Linked DNA regions of Arabidopsis thaliana. The protein of the gene in region 3 interacts with the protein of the main gene of each other region in a pairwise test. Each region holds a gene or a part of one and is shown on either strand. Other genes may lie near its edges.

What was found.
Region 1: the proteins of AT2G01070 (region 3) and AT5G15500 interact in a protein complementation assay, tested with the Arabidopsis thaliana proteins (one large-scale study listed by BioGRID).
Region 2: the proteins of AT2G01070 (region 3) and AT4G12950 interact in a protein complementation assay, tested with the Arabidopsis thaliana proteins (one large-scale study listed by BioGRID).
Region 4: the proteins of AT2G01070 (region 3) and TET2 interact in a protein complementation assay, tested with the Arabidopsis thaliana proteins (one large-scale study listed by BioGRID).

Annotation. Positions count from the first base shown.
Region 1 is NC_003076.8:5,031,117-5,035,511, forward strand, and holds AT5G15500 (Ankyrin repeat family protein), read right to left. Parts: upstream 2,425-4,395; 5' UTR 2,328-2,424; coding exon 2,012-2,327; exon of another isoform or gene 1,733-2,011; coding exon 675-1,732; 3' UTR 532-674; downstream 1-531. Other genes in the region: AT5G15510 (TPX2 (targeting protein for Xklp2) protein family), read left to right, coding at 3,004-3,848, 3,931-3,976, 4,089-4,181, 4,277-4,395.
Region 2 is NC_003075.7:7,574,965-7,577,733, forward strand, and holds AT4G12950 (Fasciclin-like arabinogalactan family protein), read left to right. Parts: upstream 1-1,677; coding exon 1,678-2,208; downstream 2,209-2,769.
Region 3 is NC_003071.7:73,660-78,391, forward strand, and holds AT2G01070 (Lung seven transmembrane receptor family protein), read left to right. Parts: upstream 1-1,860; 5' UTR 1,861-1,936; coding exon 1,937-2,121; intron 2,122-2,198; coding exon 2,199-3,120; intron 3,121-3,220; coding exon 3,221-3,316; intron 3,317-3,485; coding exon 3,486-3,622; coding exon of another isoform or gene 3,623-3,641; exon of another isoform or gene 3,642-3,741; intron 3,742-3,815; coding exon 3,816-3,966; 3' UTR 3,967-4,206; downstream 4,207-4,732. Other genes in the region: AT2G01060 (myb-like HTH transcriptional regulator family protein), read right to left, coding at 1-291, 414-483, 581-638, 724-766, 850-926, 1,126-1,243; AT2G01080 (Late embryogenesis abundant (LEA) hydroxyproline-rich glycoprotein family), read left to right, coding at 4,379-4,732.
Region 4 is NC_003071.7:8,471,571-8,476,827, reverse strand, and holds TET2 (tetraspanin2), read left to right. Parts: upstream 1-1,674; 5' UTR 1,675-1,806; coding exon 1,807-2,000; intron 2,001-2,085; coding exon 2,086-2,392; exon of another isoform or gene 2,393-3,223; intron 3,224-4,123; coding exon 4,124-4,435; 3' UTR 4,436-4,694; downstream 4,695-5,257. Other genes in the region: ACO1 (ACC oxidase 1), read left to right, coding at 4-589. UniProt on the Arabidopsis thaliana protein: May be involved in the regulation of cell differentiation.

The DNA.
Region 1 (4,395 bases), on a different chromosome or scaffold from region 3:
GTCAATGTCCATTCATAGTAATAATATACTTCCCAAAGTTTGGTGTTTAGTTTCAATAATGTACATGTTAATCTATTATTATAAAACCATTTTGTATATATGAGTACTTAAGTGATTGTGTGGTGAGGTCTGCAGGACAAACTTCAGACAAAAGACTAACTGCACTTTGCTTAAAAACTCAGTCACACTTTTTGAAGTGCTTCTCAAGCTATATTTGCATAATTATATAAATAACTAATAAAAAGAAGAGTGCGGTTGAAATTTTAATATTAAAGCTATATATAGTTTTAGAAAAATATAAATCGAAACCAAATATATTGAAAAAGAATTCAAATATAACATGGTTCAATATTTTTTTGATTCGTATACAAGTTTGCCATGTTACTTTAACTGTGACCATAAAACCTCAAAATCATGATTTTTGTAGATTCAGTAATTATTTTACTAATTTACATTCGAATTAGAATGCGTCATACGACACCTTCCACTTTCTAGCAACGTATACTCTTGTCAATCATGTAGTCTTTTTATGCACATCATATCACGTAGAGTAAATATTAGAAGCAAATAATAAACAGATATTTCATGTAAATAGGTTTACCCCGAGTAGAGATTTTACACATTATAGAATAAAAATACAAAAGCAACAATAAAATAACAAGAGGAAATTAAGATTACCTAATCACATACCGATTAGGCGCAACACCTCTAGCTTGATCCAACGTAGTGAAACCTTCCCAAACCAATCCACTCTTGGGTCCACGTTGCTTGGTTCTCTTAGACTGCACCCATTCCCAAAACCAAACTACCAATCCCCAAATTATAAGAACCACGATCGCACCCACACCTGCGATCGTGTACGCTCTTGCGTTCGGCTTGATCACATCCCCTGCAACAGAGTAAGCCAAGACCATAGGAACGAACAGAGGGTAATACCAAAACATACTCTCTTGTCCTAAACTCAACAAACGTATCATCATCTCAATCGCAAAGCAGAACCCCGCACTGTTCCACAACCATAACCAGATAAAGTAGACCTCGTCCATAACCACTGAACCCGCTTTCGGACCGCTTGTTCCACTCTTTTGACCACCGCCATCAGACACGCCTCCGGGAGGTTGGAGAACCGTCTGATATGTAGCTGTGACGATGAGAGTTGCGACCACTAAAAGAGCGTTTCTTCTCTCTTCAGAGATCCAAGAATAAAACCGAATCTTCTTCGTCCGTCTCGATTCTCTCCAAGAAAGCTGCGACGCGAGTATATCCGATGTTGTCTTAATCTTGACAAGAGAAACCGAACGTTTTCCACCATGTCTCTTAACCATTCTCTCTATCTCTCTGTTATTGTGTAACACAGCAATGTCGAACACGGTTAAACCGTTCTTGTTCTCAATGTTGACGTTAATCTTGGAGCTCTCTAACAACAATTTCATAGCTTGACGATTGATCTCGTACGCCGCGAGATGTAAAGGCGTGTTACCGTCTTTGTCTCTTCGGTTTATGACTCTTGTCTCGATCCACTCTGCATCTTTTTGACACAATCTTAAGATCCATCCCATGAGAACTTTAAGAACGCTTAATCCTTCTCTTTGGTCGTAGTTATTCACGGCGATGTGAAGAGCGTTTTCTCCGTTCACATTTGCGTCCACAATGCTTTCGGGACAACCCAAGAAGAATTCTGACATCAGATCAATCTTCTTTCTACTTACCGCAACTAGCAATGGCGTCATACCTTTTTTGGACAAGAAAAATGAATTAAACACTCCTGGTATAACCAATCTAGTTCATGATCTGACCATACAATATCGACATAATGACTAGTCAAAAGCAACAATAGACTGAATTCAAACTAGTATTCAATGGACTGTTCGTCCTACTTCAATACTATCTCCAAGATTTGAATTTACTAGATACATATTATAACATTAGTTCGGATTGATTAGAGCTAAAGCTTTTGGAAAAAACTAAGAAACATAATTAAGGGTTCAACAAAATAAGTGAGTGTACGTACCATGTCTCCCTTTAATACGAACAAGACTTGGATCAACCTTAACTACTTCAAGTACTAACCAGAAGTGACCGTGTTCCACGGCGAGGTGTAACGGTGTAAGTCCGTCGGCGTTAAGTTTCCGAGCAAAAGATGGTTTCAAGTTCATCATTTCCATGGCAAACTCTGTTTTTCCATTGACGGCTGCCACATGGAGAGGAGTATTAACGAAGGGCACGTGGTCGGTTTTATCAAGAACGTATGGATCTTCATGGATTAGTTCGTATAGTAGATCGATGTTTCCAGATTTAGCAGCAGCTTCTAATGATCTTTGGTCCATTAGTGACTCAAGAGAACAGAACGACGATGCGAATTATATTTTTGGTGATTAAATATGATGATGAAACTTAATTGGCTACGAAATGATAACTCGTTTGTGAATGAAGGAAGTTCCCAAAAAAAGGAAAAGAGTGGGAAATTATAGGTGACGTGGCAGTATACGTGGACACGTCAGTATCTGATCATTTAATCCAACGGTTGATATTAGATAAATAAGAATTATTGTCTGAAAATTTGATGTGACATGGAGTACAACGTGGATCATATCGGCTCCAGCATCTATTTGATCTAATGGCTAAGATTGTACAAAATAACTCGCTGCTAAAGTGTTGAAATTCGGATGTGACGTGGCATTAAACGTGGATTAAAATCATCATAATCATTAATTTGACAATCTAACGGACAAGATTAGGAAAATAATTATTTATTACTAATCTAAGTTTATTTATTAAAAAAGCACCAAAAAGACTAGCCGTTATTAGAGAGCGTCCAAAGAGCGCCGCAACGGTCACATTTTTCCCCCAAATCTATCTTCTTATTCGATTTACAATACTCCATAGCAAGAACAAACCCTAATTCTTCACCTCCGATCAATTTTTTTTTTGTTGGAGAGATTCTCAAATCTAGATCGATTACTGTTCGTGTTACTCTCTTGATTCCAGATTCTGTTATCTTCGATGGAGTCGTTGACATTGAAGAATGGGAAAGCAGGGACTCCGGTGAAGGATCGGAGCAAGTTTCAGTCCAATCAAAAGATTTCCAGATCATCGGAGAATGCAAACCCTAACATTTCACAAGCGAGTCCTTCTAAATCACCGCTCATGAAATCTGCGAAGAAATCAGCGCAGAAGAATCCGAGTCCGAGCCCTAAACCTACCCAGGCGGTTTTCTCTCCCCGGAATCGGATCAGAGAGAGGAAGTTTGTTGTGGTGGCGAAGAAGAATTCGAGGAAAGGGAAGAAGGAGCCAGCGATTACAGAATCCAAGGCAGCTGAGATAGATTGTAAATGCGGAGAGAGGAAGAAGGGGAACATGAAGTGTGTTTGTGTTGCATATGAAACTCTGCGTGCTTCGCAAGAGGAGTTCTTCAAAAATCGAATTGAATCAGAGGAGGATAAGGAAGCTTTGGAGGAATGCTGTAATCTCGGAAATGGCGATGAACTAGAAGGAAAAGAATCTGGAGAACCGGAGAAAACAGGCGTTTCCACAATGAAGAGATCAAGAGCTAAGGTGGTGGAAGAAGCACGGCAAAGTGTGCCTGTATCTGGTAAAGTGATGAATCTTGTAGAAGCATTTGAGAAACTCACTTGCTTTAGTAATTCAAAGACTGCCAACAAGATAGAAGAGAATCAAACCGAAGAGGATACGAAGAAACCTGTGAAATTGGAATTCTTGGAGGGTGAGAAAGAGAAAAACCCATGGAGTTCTTCGTTTTGTCCATCTGAAATGGTCTTAACAGCTAAGAATCTGGGTTTAGACCCCAATGCTTCGATTTCTTCGTCCTGGGACAGCACCCGTGGCAGGTTAGTTTGTTGTTGACTAAGAGATCTCACTGAAATTATGAACTTGTCTTGTTCTGAATAGTTTGATATTGTGATGTTTCAGTGTTTTGAGTGGAAGTTCAAATGCTGGCAGGAGAAGTAGAAGAAATGTAAGTGTCCTGCATGCAGCATCTGAATTTTCTTAGCTGTTTAATGGTTGTCTGTCTTGCTTAGTATGTCAGTATAGTTTAATAATCATTTTGATATTTCTGTTTATGGCAGAGCATGGAGTCATCGACTACAATGGGAAGTAGAAGATCAAAGAAGAAGCAGGTTAAGGTCACTTCATTGAAGCCGTTTAAGCTTAGAACTGAGGTATGAGTTTCTTTAGATTAAAACTAAAGAAAAATTTCGAATTTTATGGTGGAAATTGAGTCATGACAGTTGGTTGGTCTTTTGTCTCTCTGCAGCAAAGAGGTAAAGTGAAAGAGGAAGAGTTAGCAAAAAAGATACACGAAATAACAATGGAGGAAGAAAAGATGAGAATCCCCATTGCTCAAGGTCTTCCATGGACAACCGATGAACCTGA
Region 2 (2,769 bases), on a different chromosome or scaffold from region 3:
AAACCGAACAAATAAAAAAACGAACTGAATCCCAACCAAAATTATAAAATATCTTAACCAATTTTTTCAAACCCAACCCGAATGGTGAACCAGATAACTTTTTAGGTTACTGTGTCATTGGGTTCAACCGGATTCGACCATAGATCAATTGATTAAAATTTATTTAATATTTTTAATACTTTTAGAAATTATATAGTATTATAAATATAAAAATAAAAAATAATCATACCATGTTTAACAAAATATGAAGTTTCACAATAAAAATAAAGTGATTAAAATTTTTAAATCCAACAAAAACCATAAAAAAAATACTTAGATAGTATGAGATTATCAACAAAAAAACTAATAAAACATTGCGAAAACAATATAACTAATCACCGTTGTTTCTCTCACCATTCCTAATATTTAATTCCAAAATATCAAAATCAAATGGATTTTGTTAAAACTCAAACCCGACTGATTCAGTGGATAGCATGTTAATGGTGAATTTTTTGTGTTTTTTTTTCTAGTTTTTAAACTGTTGGATGTTAACCCAAACTGGAAGTGTGTACAGGTCACAGGGTCAAACTAGACGGTTCGGGTCTAGCGTGAAAAAAATGGATTATAGAATCTTTAAACGAAACGAACGAAAAGGTAACCGAATGTGTACCCGAAATATCCAAAAACAAAAGGAGTATCCGAAACAATTCAAGAAGGTGTTTAAGACCTTAGTTCTGTTTAATTATGTCCTAATTATGTTATTTGGTTTGGAGAGCATTCTAGTACACGCTATCCTCTGTTTACGTACTTAGCTTTTACATGTTAATCTATACACCAATCAAGGCAGTCTCAGGATAAACAATCATTATCCTAAATAATTACGTATAGACTTTGCTTTGTTTTTTAGTTCGGTTAATATTTGTTTTTAAAATCGTTATAGTTAATTATGTAATATGTTTTAGGTGTTTTAAAGCAAAACAATTTCTTTTAAAACCCATAATTGGCTTTCATTATATTTTTCAGTCACAGTCTACTTTATTAAAGTAAAGTTTCTTCTAGTTAAGTTTATCTCTAATTAAAAGGTTAAGGGTAAAGGTTCTTTTAAACCAATGCTAAATCGTTTGGTGATTCTTAATATTATTATTTCTATTTAATAAATATTTTGTGCAGTTGAGTGAAACAAATTTTGTCATAAGGCATCGGTACCTGCTTTTTTCAAGAAAATGGGATGCTTTGACTAGTATGATATATAATTGTGTTTTATATATCAATCATGTTATATTTACTCTTGGTTAAGATTATTTTTTATTGTTAATGATATCATTGATACAATGATACTTAAGAAAAACTAAAAATGTTCCAAATGTATTCTATAACCAATTATCATTTGAGCTACATTGTTCTCTATCTAATCAAATCAAAATCATAATATTAAGCTATTATGGTATATAGGAAATATTTGAACTCAATCCTTTTTTTTTGTGCGGTTCAAGCTTCTAAAGAGGTCTCAAAATTTGTGTGCAGTCTTTCTTCACACTTTCACTCACCTTTTGTTCCTACACATAATTCTCTTTGCTTTTAATTATATAATACTAACTTGATACAACTAGCCATATCACAATTTCCTAACTCCCAAGAACAAAAGAAAACTCCTTTCTTCCATTCTTGGACTTTTCTCTCACTTTTGGTCTCTTGGATATGAATCTCCTACTATTTTTTCTTCTCTCCACCGTTTCAGTTTTCGCCGTTGTCTCTGGCACGGTGGAGGAGACGGCCCGTGATGTTATTGATGCATTGGCTCATGCCCCTTTTGAAGAATGGTCATCGGTTTTCATAGAAACCAATGACCGGATCCGCGCCGAGGTTATCCCATCTACCCTCTTCATCCCAAACTCTTCCGCCAACGGGAGCGATGATAGACATAAGTTGGCTTCATACCACATTGTTCCTCAGAGGCTTGAGTTTGCAGATCTTCTCTTGAAGCCAAGTAGATCGAGACTACCGACTCTTCTCAACGGCTCCTCCATTCTGGTAACCAACAATTCTGCTACTTCTTTTTCTATCGACGGCGTTCTCATCATCGAACTTGACATCTACGTGGATTCCTTCATAGCCATCCATCGTATTGCATATCCGCTTGATTACACAACTTACGGCGGCGGCTCTAAGCTTATATCGAAATGGCCGCTCTTCACCTTTATGCTTGTTACGGTTGTGTGGTTCATTTAATCATAGTGATATGAATAGATTGTGCTCATTTCACCTTATGATATATATATGAAAAGACTGAAGTCCCTAATCTATAATATGAAAGTCTTTTAAATGAACACTTAAACCTTTTTTTCTTGTACTCATGACTTGGTCATTTTTAGTAACGTACAACTTTTTATTTTTGTTTTTTAAACACGTAGACTGCATACATTGAGAGGTTTAACGATGAACATATATGCTCTCTTGTTTTTTACTCATTAAAATGCCGACTTCTCTATACACACAACACACGGAGATAGATACTTCTCATCATTTGAGTCATTATCAATATAAATAACTGAGACATCTTTCCAAAATTTACCACGACAATGAGAGGTTATCAACATATATATATATATATATATATATGAAAAGTAATATTCAAAAAAAGTAATAGATGAATCATGAATGGTCAACTAGATTTTGAGTCATTATTAATAGACGAAGAGATCTCTACAAAAAAAAACATTTACCATTCTATAATCACTAAACAAAATACCAGCTGAAATACAACAAATCTTATCGAAGACCACTACTAAT
Region 3 (4,732 bases):
TCCTGTGCTCTCATCTGGAGACCCAATGTTACACCCTGAGTCTGGTGTTAAAGGCTCCCGGTAAGATGAGAGAGACTCGTCAACTGAGAGACTTTTGTCTGGTCCACAGTCCTTGCCAGACTTGTCTTGAAGAGGAGACTCAGATGTTGGGGCAGGGGTTGCAGGATCTGAATCGCCCGTTACTGGGGCTGAGGGTTCGCCGAGTACTCCACTGAGTCGTTGTTGCTCTTCAATTATCTTCTTCAAGTACTTTCCTTGTGCTTCTATCCGTAGTTGCAGCTGTCTTTGCACCTAAGAAAAAATCACATCAAAGAATAATGTCATATGTAATGCAAAATTCAGTGCTACACTGAAAATCCTACTAATTGTTTCGTTGTTGCTTGTCTTTCTTAAGTAGGAATGGTGAAGCATACTTCTAGTTGCTCGTGTAATCGTTTCTGAACTTCCATCTGCAACTTGAGGGCTTCAGTTATCTGCATTCCCCTGTAATCTCGAAACGATATTGATCACTTAATCTGCGGCGCGAGGTAATATATATATAGCATCACAAATCAAGCTCAAAGAGGGAAATTTCACGTACGACGAGCCGTCCAACCCAGAGAGCATATCTCCAGATTCTTTCTTATCAGTTTTTTTCCCTGAAAATTGAAAAAACCAGTTTTCAGGTATATAGGAAACTGGTAGAATGAGAAAGAAGATGAAGAAAATCAATGTCCACACTACCTTCAGAAGACGAATCTGGAAGATACTTTGCAAGTCGATATTTCTGACTCAAAATACACAAATGCAAAAATCAGCAAGGGTAAGAGAAAGAGAGACGAGACAAGATGCCACACAGTTTGAGAATACCTGTAAGTGACTCTTGACATGATATATAGTTAAGCCTTGTACACCCATCACTCTAAGAACGCCTTTGGGTGTAGCTCCTTTGGAAATCAAAGGAAGAAAAATGTTTAGGAACCCTAAGCAAACAGACGATAGGCTTTCCCTCTCATGGATAGTAGTAAAGCATACAAGAAGAGCAATTTGATTATATTGGTGTGCATATTATTACCACAGATATTGATGAGGAAAACATGAGTTACTAAATTTACCATAGACTATACAAGAAAAAAGGAAACTTACTATCAGGGCCACCAAGTTGAGCAACGGCATCAACGAAGCGTTCATGTAGCTCATGCGTCCAACGCAGACGTTGTTTGGATGCATGACTAGAATTGGGGCCTCCGTTGTCTGCTTCCATCAGGGCTAAGATATAAACACGATAAAGGGAAAGTAATGAGTAGTGGCAAAGCTAGGAAATGATAACATATGAGGACTGGCCAGAGAGAAAGAGATAGAAATGGAAACAAGGAAGACGAAATAGCGCCCAGAATTAGCTAGTAAAAACAGTCCAAGTCAAGTTTAAGACTTGCTCCGGCAGATCCACCACAGGACACCAAAATCAGAGACATGTTCACTAAAATCGGAGGAATTTGTCGCCGAGAAAGCAAAAAGAAAACACAATCCAAGGTTATGGAATCTACGAACCTGTGGGTGGTGGATCTATACACGACGCCCCTCCATTTTCGGAACTTGCTCTTCTCCAAGCTAAATCTTATCTGAAATAGAAGATATTGTGTTACAGACTAGTTTACTGAGTCCGGTGGGTTACAGGGCGGGCGGCGATGGAGCAGAGTCCTCCTCAAAAAAATTCCAGTCTTCTTCTTATCGCTCGATCGACGAATTCCAGGCAGTGGCATTGACTATTGCTGCATTTCTTTCTGGGTAAGCCGGGCCTCTCGGTATAGGCCCAAACCATTCTAAGGCCCAAACCATTATATTAAGTTGGTTGGTCCACCAAAGTCAGCAGCAGCTAGAACAAGAGCGACTCTGCAGCTGCTCTTCTCCCGCTTCCTTCCTGTTAGTTAGCCTCAGAGATCCTCGTTCCCCGATAATGGATTTGGGAAAACTGATCCAGCTGTCTGCGCTGCTGTGCCCATTTCTTCTATCATTACACTTTAGAATCGCTGGGGCCTCCGCCCACATCTACTCTTCCCAGCCCTTCCACGATGTCGGTAATTCTCTCCTCCTCTACGGTGGCAGCGAGGGCATCTTCGCCTCTTCCCGATCTTTAATCAGGTATATTCTATGGATTACATTTTCAACTCTTTTGATGCTCTCTACTCTACTCTACTCATCCTCCCTCCTCACTGCAGGTTTGAGAACATCACTCTCTGGAGGACAATTACCGGTAAGGGCCACCGCAGCAATGGGTTAGTTCAAGCAGTGATCTTTGAAGCCTCCGATCGTAACAATATCGGTGGTTCAGCTTACGGAGGCCAAAGATCTATTTGCTGCACTCCAGATCTGGCCAAGCTTCAAGGCTGTAAGCAGGGTGAGATCATTAGGATTCCTTCTCCACATGACCCTCAATGGCCTATCCTCTTACCTGTCCGCTTTAAAGGAAAACGCTCGTCTGCTAAGATGGCAGACACTGAGATTCTTATCACCAAGACTGGAATCTATAATCTCTTATTCATATCTTGTGATCCACAACTTAAGGGCCTCAAAATGACCGGAAAGACTGTTTGGAAAAATCCCGACGGCTATCTTCCTGGTAGGATGGCTCCACTCGTGAATTTCTATGTCTATATGTCTCTCGCTTATTTGTTGCTCAGTGCCGTCTGGTTCTTCCAGTATTTGAGGTTCCGGATGGATATATTGCCACTTCAACATTGCATTACTGCCGTCATTCTTCTAGGATTGCTTGAGATGCTCTTTTGGTACTTGGATTATGCTAATTTTAATCACACGGGGATGAGGCCTTTAGCCCTTACTACATGGGTTGTTACCATTGGTGCCTTGAGAAAGACTGTTTCCCGCATTCTCATTCTCTGTGTTTCCATGGGATTTGGGGTTGTCAAATCTACTCTTGGTGGTCTCACTTCTAAAGTCCTCCTTGTTGGAGTTACTTACTTCATAGCTTCTGAGATCCTTGATATTGCTGAGCACGTTGGCATCATTGACGATATGTCCGGAAGATCAAAACTTTTTCTTGTCCTTCCTGACGCCTTCCTCGATGCATTTCTCATATTGTGGATATTTACCTCTCTTTCGAAAACACTGGAACAGTTACAGGTATCTCTTTCTTTCTAAATATAGCCATCAGACTCTGTAAGTTGTAAGGGTTTTGAGGCAAGATTCATCAGACCAGCTATAAAATTCTTTATTACTGCAGATGAAAAGGACCTCGGTGAAGCTGGAAATTTACCGCAAGTTCTCAAATGCACTCGCTGTGATGGTTGTTGCCTCTGTTGCGTGGATAGTGTATGAGGTACCATCCTGTCAAGCCTGATTTGATGCTGATTTAGTAAACTCAAATCTTACCTCTAGGAAACAAACTGCTCAACTAAAACTGGCTTTGTTTCAAGCTAGGAAAAAAGAAGCTCCTTCTTTCTTGGAATATACCCAGCTTGCTTGCCTGATGATTTGTCCCCGTGCAGGTGTATTTCAAAGCAACAGATCCATTCAATGAACGATGGCAGACTGCTTGGACTATAACTGCCTTCTGGGATGTTATCGCATTCTTGTTGCTATGTATTATTTGCTATCTCTGGACCCCCTCGCAGAACTCCCAAAGGTATGTTACATCAACTTAAAAGGTTTTGATACCTCTCGGGCATACCAACAAATAAGCATGGTTTTGTGGAAACGGTTTCAGCTGAGCATGTTGTGGGAAGTCTTGGCTACATGCTAGTGGTTCTTATGTAGTGGTCCAATTTTGGTGTTCCTGGGTGTGATAGGGATGCTAATATGAAACTAATGATGGACAGATATGCATATTCGGGAGACGTGGATGAAGAAAACGAGGAAGCTCAATCTCTGACAGGGGGGAAGCAAGATGGTGATATTAGCTTAGTTAAGCAAGAGAAGAATGCGGAGTCGGACAGGGAAGAAGATGTTGAAGAAGATAAAAGAGAGTGAGGAGAGTCAGTATAGAAACGACGTGGCATCTGTGTTTGATCAAGAGTTGACGAAAATATAAATATCAGCAAGAGGTCAGCTATATAGCACAAAGCAACGACGTAATACATATATATGATGTAACTAAAGGATAGTAACTGTGTGTTTGTATTTGTTTGTTTTTTTAATATCAGATCCAACATTTTTTGAGTCATCTCTAACCCTTGTCTGAGTGTGAGATTTGCCTAAAATTGCTGTAAATTACATTATTGATATTTTTATTGGTGGTTAAAATTGTGAAACATTAATTTGTCAATAATACTAGAGTCCAGACACGGAAACAGGGTCTCTCTCTCTTGTTGTGTATAATTTCAACACCGCTATTACAGAAGAAGAGTGAAAAGGGAGAGGGAGCTTCCTGCTTTCACTTACTATGCCTCCTCCTCCTTCTAGTTCTAGAGCAGGTCTCAACGGCGATCCGATTGCTGCTCAGAACCAGCAGCCGTATTACCGGAGCTACTCATCGTCGTCGTCGGCGTCGCTGAAGGGATGCTGCTGCTGCTTGTTCTTGCTGTTCGCGTTCCTGGCGCTGCTGGTACTGGCGGTGGTGCTCATCGTAATACTGGCGGTGAAGCCGAAGAAGCCGCAGTTCGATCTGCAGCAAGTGGCAGTGGTGTACATGGGGATCTCCAACCCAAGCGCTGTTCTGGATCCAACCACCGCCTCCCTCTCCCTCACCATCCGGATGCTCTTCACCGCCGTCAACCCAAACAAGGTCGGAATCAGG
Region 4 (5,257 bases), 8.4 Mb from region 3:
CAGCAAGACGATGGATGAATATGTTTGTCAACTGCACAAGTTTGCAGAGAGACTCTCCAAGCTCATGTGTGAGAATCTTGGTCTTGATCAGGAAGACATAATGAATGCCTTTTCTGGTCCAAAAGGTCCAGCTTTTGGAACAAAAGTGGCTAAATACCCAGAATGCCCACGTCCTGAGCTTATGAGAGGGCTGAGAGAACATACGGATGCTGGGGGAATCATATTACTCCTGCAGGATGATCAAGTGCCTGGTCTTGAGTTCTTTAAAGATGGGAAGTGGGTTCCTATACCGCCATCCAAGAACAATACCATTTTTGTCAATACCGGTGATCAACTAGAGATACTGAGTAATGGGAGGTACAAGAGTGTTGTTCACCGTGTAATGACAGTGAAGCATGGAAGTAGACTGTCGATTGCTACGTTTTACAATCCGGCTGGTGATGCCATAATATCTCCAGCTCCAAAGCTCTTGTATCCAAGTGGCTACCGTTTTCAAGACTACCTAAAGCTTTATTCAACTACCAAGTTTGGAGACAAAGGCCCCAGACTTGAGACCATGAAGAAAATGGGAAATGCGGATTCAGCCTAGGATGCATCTGGAATTTGACGCTTCTGTACTCACATCATAAAAACTTTGTCTTCTTCTTGTGTTTCCTTATAATTTAAATAACCAGCCATGTCAGAATCTTGCTGATTCAGCTATACTACTTCACTCTTCTTTCTTCACTTCCACTTGAAAAGTTCCAAAGCCAAACTGAAGCAGTCTCATCAAGCTCTGTGTCGAACTTGAGATTAGACAAAGAGCTTGTAATCTAAGCTCTAAGATTGACAGTCAATTTCATGATTTATAAGATGTAATTCAACTCTTAACGTAATCCACAACTCCGCCATCATCTCTTTCCATATTCTCTCTGATTTGACTCATTTCCTTCCCAATTCCTAGAATCAAACAAATAGCATTTCTATATCAGCATCTAAAACTGAAAGCTAAGTGTGTATTGACTCAAAATTCTTCTCCAATCGCAATAAAATCGAGATGAGAAAAATTCATCCATATGTTTTGGTTCACACATTCTATCGAGCAGCTTGTGTGCAATCCCAATCCTCTGAACCAAAACAAAAGCTTATCTCTTGACCATTACCCGACATTTCACTCATCAGCCAACGACAAATCCTGCTCCGAAACCTCTAATGCTTGGAAAAGAAGAAAATTCCGATTTCCGAACAATGGAACTTACTCCATTTTGCATTCTCTGTCGAAAGTAACATACGTTCAATGCAAATGACCCAAAGTCGTCGGTGCCACGTGGATAGTTCTCACTGGTTGATGCATTCGGTAACTCGCAGAATGGAAGAATATTAACACAAAAGGCATCTCGCGTATCCACGTGTCCCGTTCAAGATTCCAAATTCTAAACCAAAAGCCGGTCCGACCAGATTAACAAGTTCTCTTTATTACATCACAACCCAAAACTTGTTCAAAACCTAACTTTTCATTGCTAAACATATTTTATTCTGACATTCACATGTTAACTTTAATCCAATATCTAATTCTTTTTTCTTAAAACCACCGTTGTCGAAAAATCCAAATCAGCAAAATCAGTGATTAACCGGACCGGACCAAACCGAACATCGTTTTCTGTAAATAGCAGTAACTGGTTTCACACATCCCATCATCTCTAACCACCGACCTCATAAGTCATTAAGACAAAAACAGAGACACTCCTCTCACTCTCATTATTTCATTTTCTTTCCATAAAAAGCACGAATCTTCAAGAACAAAGAGAGAGAGAGAGAGAAAATTTAATGGCGTTAGCGAATAACTTAACGGCGATACTCAACTTACTAGCGTTACTCTGTTCCATACCAATAACGGCGTCAGGTATATGGCTAGCTTCAAAGCCAGACAACGAGTGTGTCAATCTCCTCCGTTGGCCCGTTGTCGTCCTCGGCGTTCTCATCCTCGTCGTCTCCGCCACAGGCTTCATCGGCGCCTACAAGTAAGAATCAAAGAACTTCAAGACTTTGAAAACATAGACACAAATTGAATCATAAAGATGTAAACTTTGAGCTCTCATATTTCAGGTACAAGGAAACTCTACTGGCGGTTTACTTGTGCTGTATGGCGATATTGATCGGACTTTTGCTGGTGGTTCTTATATTTGCATTCGTCGTGACCCGGCCCGATGGATCGTATCGGGTTCCGGGTAGAGGTTATAAAGAGTATAGGCTTGAAGGGTTCTCGAATTGGCTTAAGGAGAACGTTGTGGATTCCAAGAACTGGGGAAGGCTAAGGGCTTGTTTGGCTGATACTAATGTTTGTCCTAAACTCAACCAAGAATTCATCACCGCCGATCAGTTCTTCTCCTCCTCTAAGATCACTCCTCTCCAGGCATGTTCTTTCTTCTTTTATTCTCTTTTATAAAAAGAACCCCGAAATTTCTAGTTTCCGGTTTAGGTTTGGTTTAGAGGTAAATCTAGACTAAATATCGGTTATGCAACTATGCCAACGAATCATTGTGGGTTTAATTAGATATTATTAGATGATTAATGGAGATAAGATACGAAGTAAAGAGAATGTTTTGTAAAATCTCTAGATTATGTGAGACCTACGGTTTGTTCTTGCCATAGAAAGATAGGTTATTTTTTCTTTCAAAAAGTAAAGTATGTGGTTTTAAATCAAAAAGTTAAAAAATTTCTCTTTAGCTTTTGTGAAGATGTCCAAAAGAGAATTGTTCTTATTCTCTATATTCTTTTTTTTTGTTTTGCAGCTTTAAGTTATTTCGTTTTGGATTTCCTCATCTTTGAAAAAACTAAAAAAATATTTTCTGACTTAATTAATCTTATGTTTTCTAGTGTTGGAGAGAAACCTACATTAGCTTTCTTAACGTTTCGCAGTTAGTGCCATTTTGTGGTAAAACTCATAGATTAGGCATATGTAATCACCATTATTGAACACATATTTATTCCTAGTAGACTGGTGTAGAAGTTGCTGGAGACCAAGTCCACAAGATTATATAGTAAGATAGTCAGATTTCAAAATTATACACTATCATAAGGACCCACCCATGCACCCACAATATGGTACATGATAAACTATGTTTTATCTGTGTATTAATTATATTTTTCCTTTGTCACTATCTCACTCATAAAATTCAATGATCCCATTCACTTTAGATAGTGTTTTTCGTGATCACAACTCAAACTTGACAAAATTTCCTACTTTTTCTATTTAATTTTATTAATTAAAATCACTCTTAAAATTCATTGTCATGTCTTTTATGTCTTTTAAGCTTTAAACATGGAGAGATTAAGGGTGATTTAAATAATTTTATTCCTAAAACTTCTATAGCAAGTTGTCATCCTAGTCCATTGTCACTGTAACAAGATTGGAACCACTAATAATTAAATAAGCCTAGATGCTGAGGTCTCGACTGAATTTTAAATCTTTTAGTCATTAGACATTATTAAATATTGGACCAATGATTTGATTCAATAATTACGATCACAAGTCTTTGTCTCCATCATGAAACATAATAGATAATTATATCCCTCCCATGTTGCCCCACTCACATTATAATTTTTCTTATTGGATAAATTAGGACTCAAGAAAAAATAAGTTTATTTCTAAGAAAGAGTTATACAATTTCTCGTCCTCGAGACAGAACCAAAATTTACTCATAAGTAAAAGAAGATTATTCTGTGATAAGATTCAACATGTTTTTTCATTTTTTTTATGTACTTTCATACCAAGCAAGCAATTTTTTAGGTTTCTTGTAGTCGTTTTATTTTTATAGCTTTCAGACTAAAACTAGTGTTTCATTGTTTTAGGTCTTGACTCTTGAACTCTTGATTGTTTGTGTTTGCCTTTAGTATATACTTTTTTTTTCTCCACATGAACCCATAATATTAACCATGTTAAGCAAAATGAAATTTTTGTTGTAAACACAAAGGGCAGACGCAAATGGTAGCGTTTGTGTTTACAATGTGTAAATATTTTTTACCAATAAAAAAAAAGTGTAAATATCTTTAAGACTATGATTATCATATTTGAAAACATGGTTAAGCATATATTTGGTCAAATCTAATTATGACAATTTCTTGAACATTTGTTGTTTTACAGTCCGGCTGCTGCAAACCACCAACCGCATGTGGCTACAACTTTGTGAACCCAACACTGTGGCTAAATCCAACCAATATGGCTGCAGACGCAGACTGTTACTTATGGAGCAATGACCAAAGCCAGCTTTGTTACAATTGCAACTCATGCAAAGCTGGTTTATTGGGAAACCTTAGAAAAGAATGGCGTAAAGCAAATCTCATACTTATCATCACAGTCGTTGTTCTCATATGGGTTTATGTTATTGCTTGTAGCGCGTTTAGGAATGCTCAGACTGAGGATCTCTTCCGCAAATACAAACAAGGTTGGGTCTAAAATGTGTTTGTGTCTATAAATTTGTTTGTAGTTTGTTGAGATTGGAGTTTTCGGAAATAGCTCGTCATATTATGATTTCTTTGTGTGTGGAAAAGGTTTTTTTCTTTTTATGGATTTTGTTTCTATGTTTATCAGTTTATGTTCGACAAAATGGCACTTATCTATGTAAACAAACAACTGACCCTAATTGGAAAACTGATTGTTGTCATAGAGTTTTCTCAGTTTCTTCTATTAAGAAAAACTTAACCGTTGGTTAAAACGTAATTATCAACAAAGACTTCTCTTTTGGTCTGTGACGTTGATTCCAACGATAAGAACAAAACCTAATCTTTGTTTTCTTTTGTCAACAATAGTACTATCACCTTTGTTCTTAACTATTTTTTTGGGAACTTAAAATTGACAACACCGGAATTAAAATGTTTAATACTATCAAAATTATATGAAACTAAGCTGTCTTTTAGCTATAGTTTAATTCATTTCTGACCTCTAAAATAATATTATCCGGAGATTATTGTAGTTTCGTAACGTGGTTGATGAAACTACTAGGTGTTTTCTTAATTAGACCACGATTTTAACATTACGTTACACTAATACTCTATTGCATTTTTGGTAGTTTTCATAACAATGATTCCATGCGGCTTAGTCAAACCGAAATCATATTATTTGTAAATTCAATTCTGATATAATTTTTCTATTTTGTACCAAACGTAAACCGAAACATAACCGAAACCGAACCAAAACTTCATTTGCGTAATGTAGTTTCCTACGTTGTTGTATCTATAAATAGTTTGTTTGTCCAGCATCCATTTCATAATTCCTCAT